Linked DNA regions of Saccharomyces cerevisiae S288C. Changing the gene in region 1 together with any one later gene gives a genetic interaction. Each region holds a gene or a part of one and is shown on either strand. Other genes may lie near its edges.

Region 1 (4,924 bases):
TTAGCATCGTCAGGAATTGTTTGTAGATACGCCAGCGTCGACTCTAGAATAGTGGATATGTTTTTGCCTTGGTAACTCTTTAACTCGTTGATCTCTTGAAGCAAGCATCTGGATCTGGTCCGCGCTTGCTTTCGTTTAGAAATAATATGTCTTATTAGTTGGTCTTTGCACTGTTTGGTGTAAAGCTGTGGGTAAAACTCAAGCGGTATATCCACGCCATTGGGTAGAGACACTGATTCTGTATTTGTTTCTAGTTCATTGAACAGGATTGTTAATACGGGTGCCACCTCCTTCAAAGTATTCTCCGGTTCCACATATCTCGCCTCTTCTTGCTCGCCACCACGAATCACGTCTTCTTCTTCTTCCTCTTCTTCGGGGTACAATAAAACGTTGAACATTTTATATAGATTAGAATCGTACTCTTCAGGAAGAAAATGAAACAAGGACAAAAACGTCTCCATTGGAGGTTCATTCTTGTTCGGAGTATGCAAAGCAGAAGATATAAAGAGACTTCTTGTTTCCCGGTCTCTGATCCCAGGACACATTTCCAAATCCACTGCCAATGATTTGATAAACGCTGGGAGCACCTCATAAAGATGCTCGGAATCGGCCAGCTTGGACCTCAATTGCGGTTCCAAGGACGACGTAAACACCTTGGCCGAAACAAAGGCTCTTTCACACTTTCGCGTGTTAACCACGGAGATGAGTTTTTGCAACTGCCAGAGCAGATGCGGTTGCAACCCTTCATTAGGTCCGCTGGCCAGCACGATCTCCGACGTAGTGGAACCATCTTCTGCCTCGCAATATGCAAGTCTGTATTTGGGCTCCGTAAACGATGAGCCCTTGAACCAGTCTGCCCTATAGTTCAAATCCTTAAAGTCCGGTTTCAAGAACACGTGTGGGAAATACACGGCCGTGAGCAACGCAAACAGCCCAAAATAGCTCTCAATTAGACTATTCAAGGGTAGCGGCAACACAACCGTAGGATCGCCCACGTTCGACTTGAACTCGTTGTGTTGTACTATACTATAAGAGGGGGGAGGAATGGATGTCTCCGATATAGAATAACGATCGTAGTTCTGAGCAGTAACCCTGCATCCGCTGGTGCTATTAGAACCGCTGCGTTCATCCGTGATGTCTTCATCGTCATCATAATCAACATCGACACCACTCACATCCGGCATATCAATGTCTTGGTCCCCGTTGTTCGGAACATCGCAGGGCTTGGTTCCAGCCACTATTTTGTTCTCAGAAATCCTAGGCTGACTGCCATCATTCTCCTCACCCATTTCCGCTTGCTCCGGCAGCTCGTTCGAAAAGATGAAGTTAACTGCTGCCTCCAAATTACCGCCAGTTCTTTGGAGGGCGTCCACAGCTACTTCGTGTGGAATACCCATTTCTAGCAGTGACTTTACAGCCTGATTATCCATCATCGTAGCTTACTTAACAAAAATCAATTACTTAAGATTCCTTTTACAGGTGACGACTCTCCTTTTCCGGCTTCTTCTCTTCTTTCCTCTACTCCGACAGGTCCTTAAGCCTTGTAGTGAGAAGTACCTTTCAACAATAGTATCTTTTACTTCCGTGCCGGGTCGCCCGGACATCACCCGCCCGGCACAGATGCCTTGGCAGCAAGCGCATCCATCGCTGCATCTCCGCCGGAAAAACAGATGTTCAGTACATGAAAAGACGTTTTTATTCGACATAAACTTTTTCAGCTAGCAAGAAGGATCTCTTTTTAAACACTCTATACAGGTGCACACAAAGGGTTGTTGAAACAGAAACACAAACGCACGGCGAAATAATATTATTTATTCGACTTACGAATTTTTCAAAGAAGTCGTACTGGTGTGAAGTGGAAAGTTTCAAAGATAGTTTGAAAAGCAGGGAAAAAAGAACATAGTGAACCTTCATCGCCACAGTGACAGGTTCAAGGAAAAAATTCACACACACACACATACGCATACGCACACAAAGCACTCAGCTCTATATACATAACAAAGAATATTGTAATTCGACACTATTTGGTACATTCAGAGGGTCCTAAGACAGCACAAATCAGTTATATAGAAAAAAAGAAGAAAAAATCATGAGTGAAGAGGAAACGGTCTCAGCCCCAGCTCCAGCTTCTACACCGGCCCCGGCTGGAACCGATGTAGGTAGTGGTGGAGCAGCAGCTGGAATAGCTAATGCTGGTGCTGAAGGCGGCGACGGTGCCGAGGATGTTAAGAAACATGGGTCGAAGATGCTAGTGGGGCCCAGGCCGCCACAAAATGCGATATTCATCCATAAGCTATACCAGATTCTGGAGGACGAATCGCTACACGACTTGATATGGTGGACCCCTTCGGGCTTATCCTTCATGATTAAGCCTGTGGAACGGTTTAGTAAGGCTTTGGCTACATATTTCAAGCATACTAATATCACGAGCTTTGTAAGACAGTTGAACATTTACGGCTTTCACAAGGTGTCGCATGATCATAGCAGCAACGACGCTAATAGTGGCGACGACGCCAATACTAATGATGACAGCAATACTCACGATGATAATAGTGGCAACAAAAACAGTAGTGGCGACGAAAATACCGGTGGCGGTGTCCAAGAAAAGGAGAAAAGTAACCCCACTAAAATCTGGGAATTTAAGCATAGTTCTGGTATTTTCAAGAAAGGTGACATTGAGGGACTCAAACACATTAAGAGAAGAGCTTCTTCCCGTAATAACTCCTCAATTAACAGTCGAAAGAATTCTAGTAATCAAAACTACGATATAGATTCCGGTGCAAGAGTAAGACCCTCTTCGATTCAAGACCCGTCCACCAGTTCCAATTCCTTTGGTAATTTCGTTCCGCAAATTCCGGGCGCCAATAACTCTATCCCCGAGTACTTTAATAACTCTCATGTAACTTACGAAAACGCAAACCATGCCCCGCTGGAATCCAATAACCCGGAAATGCAAGAGCAAAACAGACCTCCGAACTTTCAAGATGAAACACTGAAACATTTGAAAGAAATAAATTTTGATATGGTTAAGATTATAGAGTCTATGCAGCATTTCATATCTTTGCAACACAGTTTTTGTTCACAGAGTTTCACCTTCAAGAATGTGAGCAAGAAAAAATCGGAAAATATCGTGAAGGATCACCAAAAGCAACTTCAGGCATTCGAAAGCGATATGTTAACTTTCAAACAGCACGTCATGTCGAGGGCCCACCGTACAATAGATTCTCTTTGTGCTGTAAATGCTGCCGCTACCGCTGCCTCTGTCGCCCCTGCACCCGCGCCCACATCCACATCTGCATATGCACCCAAATCTCAGTATGAGATGATGGTTCCTCCAGGGAACCAGTATGTCCCGCAGAAATCTTCCTCGACCACGAACATCCCTTCGAGATTCAACACGGCTTCAGTGCCGCCCTCGCAACTTTTTGTACAATACCAACCGCAGTCGCAACAACATGTGACTTATGCGAAGCAACCGGCACATGTACCAAACTTTATCAATCAGCCGATACCCATCCAACAACTACCTCCACAATATGCAGACACTTTTAGCACTCCACAAATGATGCACAATCCTTTTGCCTCGAAAAATAACAACAAACCGGGCAACACGAAGAGGACCAATAGTGTTCTCATGGACCCGCTGACTCCCGCAGCGAGTGTTGGAGTTCAGGGTCCACTAAACTATCCTATCATGAATATTAATCCTTCTGTCCGTGACTACAACAAGCCTGTCCCTCAAAATATGGCTCCGAGTCCAATATATCCTATTAATGAACCAACAACGAGATTGTATTCTCAACCAAAAATGAGAAGTCTCGGGTCTACAAGCTCTTTGCCCAACGATAGAAGAAACAGTCCTCTGAAGCTGACACCGAGATCATCGTTGAATGAAGATAGTCTGTATCCCAAACCTAGAAACTCTCTCAAATCCAGTATTTCGGGCACGTCTTTATCCTCCTCTTTTACACTAGTTGCCAACAATCCAGCCCCAATTCGGTACTCTCAGCAGGGATTGCTTCGCTCATTAAACAAAGCTGCTAATTGTGCTCCAGATTCGGTAACTCCATTAGACTCGTCTGTCTTGACGGGCCCTCCTCCAAAAAACATGGACAATCTTCCTGCTGTTTCTTCAAATTTAATAAACTCCCCCATGAACGTCGAGCACAGCTCAAGCCTATCACAAGCAGAACCTGCACCACAAATAGAACTACCGCAGCCATCTTTGCCCACAACGAGCACCACTAAGAATACTGGCGAGGCTGACAATAGTAAGAGAAAAGGGAGCGGTGTTTATTCTTTACTGAATCAAGAGGATAGCAGCACGTCCAGTGCTGATCCTAAAACTGAAGATAAGGCCGCTCCGGCACTCAAAAAGGTTAAGATGTGATCTTTGCCTTTTTAATCTCTAGTTGTCTAAAAGTTCAAAGCACCTCACTGTATGTTTATTACCTTTGTTCCAATTACTTTTGTTTCAATTACTTTTGTTTCATTTCATTTTAGGTATCCCAACGGGTAATCATTGTTATTTATTTTATTCACTTTTTTTTCTTTTCCTCCTGATCCTTGTGATTATAACTATATTTTTACCAACTCCGGTAGTTGTTTTATTAAGTTTTCATCACACTAAATTGTATTTTCCACTTTCATTTCCACCTTCCTTTCCCCTACCTCCCTTCAATTCGTATCATAATACCGCCCGTTCTTTCTAGTATATCACAGAATAGCTACGGGGTATTGTCTCATAAACAGAAAAATGCACCTTTCGATAAACTTCCTGTACAATAATTCTATAAGTATATATGTATGTTTGCTATTAAACAACCATCACAAAAAGACACCTTATTCTTTATGGACGCCTTCAAGTTGTGCTCCTATTCTGTAGTTGTTGCACCATGCATGTTACCATCATAGCCGTCTAAGC
Region 2 (4,273 bases), on another chromosome or scaffold:
AGTATTCAAAATTTCATTGTCTTTATTCCTGGCTAAGGAGCAATCAAGCTGCAGAACGTTACATCTGTAACATTTTCCAATGAAAGGTTCAAAATCGCACCTTGTCTTCACTCTCCTGCAAGTATCACAACTAAATGTTTTTCTTTTCTTTCTAGGTTTTTTGTTGCCATTATTCTTAGGACTGTTCGTTTCACTGCGCTCTTTGGCTCTTGCACTATCCTCTGGGTGGTTTATTATGGATCTGATACTATTTCGCACCTTTCCAGAAGCAGAATTATATCCAGCAGTCATCGGTAAACCATCTGGTCTGGGGCTTACTGAGGCATTTGAGTTTATATCCATTTTTTTCCCTGATGTTCAGCAAACCGAAAGAAATATAAAATACAACTGGGAAAGATGTTTTAATGGTGAGTAAGCAAAATGTGAGTGGTTTTAACCCTAAGGAAGAACCGTATCAAAACACTATTTTTCAATTAAATCATCTACCTAATGAGCTCATTTTGTTAAGATGATCTACCATAATAATTATTCAAAAACTGTCAAAATTAAAAGGAGGGTAACAGTTTCAATAGTTTAACCAGTTTTGGTAATGCCTGAAATAACATAAAAAGCTGATGCTAAGTGGGCTACGCTATGCTCCAGGTGAAGATAATCAGAACACTACATCTCTACTGCAAATTTATATCTCATAAGAACTAAATAAAATGGCTAGTATTTAAGTTAATCTTCTAACCTAAAAAATTATCGAGAACAATACCGTGAAAACTGCATAAACTGACATTTTGAAAGCATCAATAAAAATGTTCTTCGGAGCACTGTTTTCCATCTTCTTTGAACTTCCTTGACTTTTTGCACCATTTTTTCCTTTTTCTTTCTTTCCATTATCATTGTCAGTTTCCTGCTTTCCTAGTACATTCCCCTCTTCATCAACATTCAGCATTTTACTTTTCATACCAGATGTGCATTCGATTTTACCGCCTCTTATGATCGAACGACCGGCTTTTGGTGATGTAAATTCTTCACAGTTTAATTCCTCAGATGAACTTTTGATATAAGCGCTACCTTTTACTAACTTTAGCTCTGGGAGGTCAATTTTATCAAAGCTACCTTCAAAATATATTGCACCGCCAATTTGCCTCAACTTGGGGAAGAAATCAATTTTGGCAAGCTCTGTATTGTTAGCAATCATTAGACCCCCTTGAATATCGGTGGCATTCGAAAAGTTTAGCTTTTTCAGATTTTTATTATCTATTAACCCCAACGTTCCTTGAACTTTTGCCAAAAGTGGTAGTTCCAAGCTTGAAAATTGATTCTCGATGAACTCTAGAGAACTGTTCACAGAGGAAAGTTTAGCTAGTTTAATTTCTGAAACGTCCTTAATGGTCATATTTTCAACCGTGTGTAAGTTGCTCAAATCAAGTTCCAGCTCTTTGGCATTAGAGTGGACGGTTAGTTGTTTAGTAACACTTTCTAAACTTGCGAATAAATTTTCTAAAAACCTGTTATTGTTGATATTGAAAATATCCACTTTCTTGACGTTATTGAAGTAATCGATGGAGGTTAATGCAGTATCAGATATGATAATATTTTTGATCTTTTTAATATTTCCGTTAATGACAACACTACTTAGAATAGGCAAAACTCTCCAATCAACGGTTTCAACTTCTTTTAAAGCGGGAAAGTCTAATGATACAAAGGAAGTTAGGCTATCCAATTCCAACTTTCCCAAAGACTCTAAATTATAACCCTGGATTCTAAAAATGTGTTTGTTATTCTTGATAATAAGATCTCCCTCTATCTCTCTTATTAACCCTAGATCAATAAGAGATCCGCTGTAGTTACTTGATATTTCAATGTTTCCTACCACTTTCCAACATTTAGCTTGCAGTTCAATCAAATTTCCAGCATTCTCAATATGATACAAGCCTTTTTTACAGTCTTCATCTACTTGTGTTTGTTTTGTTGGAGAAATCACCTCAAAATCAGTTTGTTCCTTTTTAGGGATCGTTGCATTAGTGTTAACCAACATAATGTTGTGATCTAGAATATTCGGTCCACCATTAGGTTCAACTGCAGCGGATGATTTAATTAACTGCAGAAACAAGAATAAAAATCTTAAGATTGTGTTCAACTGGTTCAACATGCTATCCTTTTCTTTTTTTGTAGAAACTTTGGTTTCTTTATTGACTATTTGAATAACAGAAATACTAGTGAAGAATGTTTGTGTTTTCCAAATTGGCATTTTCTTTTATAGTCTAAGTAATGCCACAAAATATTTTTTTTGAGACGCATCAATGACGGGACAGTAAAGACATAAACGCTCGATCAGAAAAAAAGAATCGAAAAAAAAAGGGAGAAATAAGCAGGTAAATAATCAAAAACACATGACTTTTTACTGTTTGTTATATAATTCAATATATCCATCCTTCATTTATTGAAGATGAAAGAGAATGGAAAACAAAAACTCATGCATATACACACATTATATATATATATCTATTTTTTTAAACGAATCCTTTCTTTATTGCTTCAATTCTTAGTGAGATCTCTTCTATAAAAACCTCATTAAATCCAGGAACGTTTGCCTCAGTTTTAATGAATTGCTTTAACATTTCATTTACGTATTTTCTTGTTTCATCGTCGCGCGCACGATCATACATTCTGTTGAGAATATGAGATACAATGTTTTTCAAGTAGTCAAACTTTTCTATCTTCAACGCCTGAATATCGTTCTTTTTATGCTTCTTATTATGATTAGAGAGAGGAACTATTTCGGTCTCTGCTTGAGCATTTGGGCAGCCTGAATCTATATCCATTCCTGAATCAAGCTCGAAAACTGGTTGCGTACATTTTCTAAATGATGAAGAACTTGGGTTGGTTATCGGCGTTACAGTTTGCCCATGAAGTAAATAAGGACTTTCCATATTTAAAGATGATGTTGGAGAGTCTTGTGTAATGGGAGATAATTCCTCTTTGGAAATTTGTGTTGTGCTTAGTCTTGTCGATTCAAAATTCCAAAATTCCTTTCCCCTCACTGTGTTGCTGTTTTTATACAAGCGATTTTGAAGAGGGTATTTGGGAACTTTTGTATATCTCTCCTGAACCTTTTTCTGTTTAATTAGATCAACATCACTTTTCAAGTTCGTTATGGTGATATTCTTAACAAATTCAAATGATAACAAGTTATATGCCGATGGCCGATCAGCAGGTGTTTTAACAAGACAACCAGCTACGAAATCCTTTGCTGCATCCGAAAAGGGACCTTGTAATTTTGGAGGCTTCCTTTTTGGTAAGTTAGTCATAACTTTCATAGGATCATATTTAGATAATGGGGGTAAGCCCTTGAGTAACTCATAGGTGGTGATACCCAAGGACCATATATCTGCTTTCTCATTATACCCATCAACTTCGCAGCAAACAACTTCCGGAGCCATCCAATACGGCGTTCCTACAAAAGTGTCCCTTTTCAAAGTGGAACGAATGTGGCCACTTACTCCGAAATCACCCAACTTAACCATACCTTCTTCATTTAGTAAAATATTAGCTGCTTTGATATCACGATGAATTTTCCTTTGCTCATGCAGGTATTTCAAACCCAAGGTGACTTCATGAATAATGAAGGAAACTTTTTCTTCAGGCAAACCGTTGACGTAACTTCGCTTCAGTAAATCTGAACATGATCCACCGCCGCAATATTCCATGACAATCCACATAGAGACATCTTCTAACATTGTTGCAATATAGTTTGTAATAAGAGGAGATTTCAATTCCGCCAGAAAAAAAATTTCCTGTGCTAACAGTTCAATGTCTTCGTCGGAATGCTCCAGGTTGACCACCTTAATTGCCACAATTTCTTGCGTAACTCTATCCACTGCTTTATACACATCACCAAAGTTACCTCTGCCAATACATGATTGGATGGAATATAGCTTCGATGGAGGGGTTCTTGACCTAATTGATATTTCTTTGCTTTCCATTTTGTGCTATTTTCTTTTGTTGTTTAGTAAATGAATTAGCTAGTAAAAAAACTAAATTTAAAAAGCAAATGCTGGTTTGCTTTCTTTTGAGAAATGTTTGCTAAGACAACTGACTAGCCAGGTGTTCACTAAATCGATAATATTGAAAATGGCAAAATAAGAAAAAAAAAGAAGAGAATTAGCTGGCTTTTTTTGGATAGGAAATATTAAATGAAGCAGTTGGAACCAAGATAATAAACAAAAACAGTATATTAAGTGACTCTTTAGTATATATCTGAACTAACAAGTAAAATATC
Region 3 (4,448 bases), on another chromosome or scaffold:
AATGAGAAAAGAAAGAGCAATAACAAATCAAAAAAGAATTTCGGTTCCTCGTCGAATAAGATAATTCAATTGGCTAATCTCAAGAAAATTGCTAAAGGTGACCCCAAGATTCCTATGCAAAATAGGATTTACATTTGGTGTTACTTGGTGGATGGTGATGAGACGGATATAGCCAAGGAGGATACAAGAATGCCATTATACATTAACAAAATGTGGCCTGTGGGTAGGGCCATGGACTATTTGTCTATCCAGCTAAACGTGAAATCTAGCACACTAACTAATTCAAGTTCTAATGACAAATTTCAACTATGCAAATTGAAAGAGGGTAAACAAGTTTCATTTTATAATATTGGCGCTTCCTTAAGAGTCACTAATGAGATCAAAGATCTTGATACTCTGTATTTAGTACACAATAACGCCGACGAAAAATCTAATTAAGAAGGACACTATAAATAACAAACAATCGCGCGGAACGTCAAGCGTATATACTATATAAAAAGAAAACAAAAAAAATCAATAACCCATTAAAGATACATAATCAATAAAAAACGATATTAAAAAGCACGTAAAGTACTTAATATTTTTTTAATAATAGACATTTTCGCCCTTACTTTTTAAATAAAAAACATAAAAAAATATCAAATGTACATCAAAATCATAATACTAGAACAAAATGTGAAGATCACTGGACGGTGGTGGGAATGATTACAAAAAACCTCCTCCGTTTTCTATTCTAACAGCATCCTAGCTTACTGAAAAAACCTTTCGATGATTTGTTACTATTTCTATCTTGCGCTGCGTTTTTAGCGTTTTGTTCGTCGTTCGCCGTTGGTTGCGCATTATATGGATACTTGTTAGTTTGACCATTGGCACCTGTATTGGCAAACTGTTTGGATTTCTGTTGCATTTGCTTTTGTTGTTGCTGAGCATATTTTTGTTGAGTTTGTTGCTGATATGCTTCATACGAAGTTGGATCAAGCTTCGACGCCTCTCTTTCTTCGTCATAGTGCGAGTCATCTGGTTGTAATTGATAACGATTGGCCTGTTGCTGGGCCTGGGCTTGTTGCAATTGTTGTTGCTGCACTTTGGCTTGTGCTTGAGCCTGTGCTTGAGCCTGAGCCTGCTGTTGTTGTTGCTGTTGATTGTAATGATGGTGATGATCGGGTGATGAATATTGATGGTTTTTACTTCTATGCCTTTTTGATTTTTCATTTGGTGGATTTGGGTGACCATAACCATGTAAGTTCGGCTTTTTGTTTATCGACAAATCCCAACCACGGCCACCATTCAGCTTCATCCAATCATATTGTCCATCTGCTGTTTCACCTAAATCATCCAACACAGATAAAAGTAACATGCGGTAGCCCTCATAATCAGGAGTTTCCTCAAACGATAAATTTCTGACTATTTCCAAATACCTACCAAATTGGATTGGGAGACCCTGAGCTAAATCGTAAACATTTGTTAGTCTTTTCTTTTCGCCAATTTTTTCGTACTTTTGCTTGTTATTTGGTGCTTTCAAACCTTGCCATGGTAGCTGCCCCCTCAAGAAATAAAAGAAGACATGACCCATAGCTTCCATATCGTCTCTTCTCGATTGTTCTCTACCCAAATGTGTATTTATCGACATGTATCTTGCTGTGCCACTTAATGATTTCTTTTCCCTGTACGGAATATGTTGTTTAGTTTTTGGATCACGATATTGTTTGGCCATACCAAAGTCAATTAGATGAACTTTGTTAGCATCTGGTTGACCCGGTCTTCCGATCAAAAAATTATCAGGTTTAATATCACGGTATATCAAATCATGAGCGTGCAAATCTTCAATTAAAGTTATCATTTGTACTGCGACTTGTACAACAGTTTTTACCGAAAATCTTCTTCCACACCAATCGAATAAATCTTCTAAAGAAGGACCAAGCAGATCAATAACCAATATGTTATGTAATCCTTCCTGACCAAAGTAGTATTCTTGTGGTATACCAGGTGTTCCCGCTAAAATTTTATAGGTCCGATATTCGTCCTTTAGCTGTGGGGCTTCTGTTTTTCTTGGTTCAAACTTGATAGCAACTGGTAATCCATTGATCATGTTTGTACCTTCAAAAAGTACACCAAATGAACCTTCACCGATTTTCTTACCTATCTTATAGTGCAGCCCGACTATAGTGGAATCGTCGCGTGATTGTGAGCCAGAATAGGAGGCAGAGCTATTGCCAGTGTTGTGATTTAGGTTAGAGCTAACATGTAAGGATGGGGGTAAAGTACCATTGACCAATCTAACATTGCTACGGTTAGGCATTTGTGAGTTCATTGTGTTATTATTGACAGCTAAACCAGAGTTCGTTGCTGTCAAAGGACTTTGCACTTGAGACATTTTTGGAAAACTATTTTCTTGGCTTATATGCTGTGTTCAGTAGAAACAACAAGTTTTGTCTATCAAAATGGAGAAAAAAACTTTCTAATATGATCTGCACAGAAACACGAAACACAACCACGTTCTTAAATCTCGAAAGAGAAAAACAATATCAAACGAAAGAAGTAATTTCCGTAAAGAAACTCTTTTTTTCTGTCTGAAAAAAAAGGTACTTAGGAATATATGCGGATTACAAAGGTATACAAAAAAAACTCTATCTCATACACAATAACTTAAACTTGCTTTTTATTATCATGTTCTTTACTTTTCTTTAATTTCCCTCCTGAAAAAATTAAAAATTTTTCATTACTCATTTTGTGGAGACACCCACAGCCCACACTTTAATGAGTGTTCTAACGTTCAAGGTTGATATTATCACCAAATTTAGCATACAGGATCGCCTTCAGAGCATCAAGACGGGAATCAATGTCTCTTTGCTTGTCCTCTAAAGTCTCTATTTTGTTGTCGAGACGTTCTGCGTCTTTTTCGAGCTGTGCGGTAACTTTGCTCTGTTTCATGAAGATAAAGAGGTCGCCCACCTTGTATTGCACGGGCTCATCTTCGTCAATCAATTCAATTTCTAGAGACACATCATCGAGGTACTCCTTCTCCTCCCTCTGTAAACTCAATTCCTGCGCAATGGCGTCCTTACGCATAATCAACTTCGAAAACTCGTTGATCTTTTGCTGATCTTCGAACGTTACCTGAGTGTTGTTCCTTTGTCCCTGTGGTAACAGTTCCATAATGGTCCTCTGTTAGTTTCTTGGCGTTGTGTATTCTGGTAGTTTCCGCAGGACCAAACAGAGCATAAGTCCTCTAAGTACTTAGCTTCCTGTAAAATTGTATGAAAAGCCGCCTCTGCTGATCATGAATGACGGCCTAGCGTTCCTCATATGATTTAGATAAAAACATAGAAAGGTATGTTAATAGTACGAGAGAATTCGGAGACCTTAGGTTTCACAACTGGAATTGGGTTAACTCGTTGAGTCACTGTCGAATGTCCGAAGAAGTATGGAATGGAAACCAAGGAATCCTCTCCGTATATGTGAGCAAAGCTAGAGACTTGCCTAATTTGAATAAACTGGACAAGCAAAATGTAATGCTTAGGTTGCGAATAGCTCATATGACAAGAGCCAGCAACACTCTACATCGAGCAGGTCAAAACCCTGTTTTCCATTATTTAGAAAAATTTGATATTACTCCAGAGATAAAGCCTTTAATGTACGTCGAAGTTTACTGCGATAGAAGGAAAAAATCTCCGCTGCCAATTGGAAGATGTGAAATAGACCTTTTAAATGCTATTAGAGCAGACCCGAAGGAGGGTTATTGTACCTGGTACGAACTGAAAAGAAGTGGGGATGAATTTGCTGGCACTATATTCATTGAGTTGACTTTCACTCCCAAAGTACCTCGTTTAAACAGGGACGATCTTAACAAAGAAATGGACAGGTTGGATTCATCTATGGCTATGAGGCCGATACCACCATTGCCAACAGAATCAGAGTATGACTATGTTCATGGTTCTACGATGAGACAGATTACTCCCCAGTGTGTTAGCACAAGTCACGAGGATAAGGATGAGGGACAGCCCTACAGAAATGGCAATGTTTTCTCCATGTCATCTAAATCAGATACAGCGGTATTGGCAAATAGTAATGACCCAATAATTTTACCTCCAACTTTTTCAGCATCCATGGGTACAACGTCTACATTAGAAACTAATGATACTGCTATATCAAACACTTCGAATACAAAATTCCATTTTGCCAATTTAAGGAAATTAAAGGAGAAGATAAATATATTTAAGAATCCTGATAGTTCAACAAACAACTGCCAAAATGAATCTAACAAGGTAGATATTGAGGCACTTCAAAAGGCTATTGGTGTAACTTCGTTGTCTTACGACGAAGATGATGACGATGACGACGAAAATGACGCATTTTATTCTTCCAGCCATAGAGTCTCCCACAACTATAACCAACCGCCCTTACCTCCTATACCGACCAGAGATGATATGTCCAATTATTCAAGTTCG

Evidence for each region. A genetic interaction does not mean that the proteins touch.
Region 2: mutations in SFL1 (region 1) and SPS2 together harm fitness more than expected from each alone (negative genetic interaction), as found in Saccharomyces cerevisiae (2 studies listed by BioGRID).
Region 3: mutations in SFL1 (region 1) and YCK2 together harm fitness more than expected from each alone (negative genetic interaction), as found in Saccharomyces cerevisiae (2 studies listed by BioGRID).

The regions. Positions count from the first base shown.
Region 1 is NC_001147.6:584,892-589,815, forward strand, and holds SFL1 (Sfl1p), read left to right. Parts: upstream 1-2,089; coding exon 2,090-4,390; downstream 4,391-4,924. Other genes in the region: RUP1 (Rup1p), read right to left, coding at 1-1,433. UniProt on the Saccharomyces cerevisiae protein: Involved in cell surface assembly and regulation of the gene related to flocculation (asexual cell aggregation). Mutations in SFL1 causes constitutive cell aggregation.
Region 2 is NC_001136.10:1,483,062-1,487,334, forward strand, and holds SPS2 (Sps2p), read right to left. Parts: upstream 2,243-4,273; coding exon 734-2,242; downstream 1-733. Other genes in the region: URC2 (Urc2p), read right to left, coding at 1-342; putative serine/threonine protein kinase SPS1, read right to left, coding at 2,505-3,977. UniProt on the Saccharomyces cerevisiae protein: Involved in middle stages of meiosis. Redundant with SPS22 for the organization of the beta-glucan layer of the spore wall.
Region 3 is NC_001146.8:342,903-347,350, forward strand, and holds YCK2 (serine/threonine protein kinase YCK2), read right to left. Parts: upstream 2,375-4,448; coding exon 734-2,374; downstream 1-733. Other genes in the region: CUZ1 (Cuz1p), read left to right, coding at 1-438; tubulin-binding prefolding complex subunit GIM3, read right to left, coding at 2,767-3,156; INN1 (Inn1p), read left to right, coding at 3,411-4,448. UniProt on the Saccharomyces cerevisiae protein: Casein kinases are operationally defined by their preferential utilization of acidic proteins such as caseins as substrates.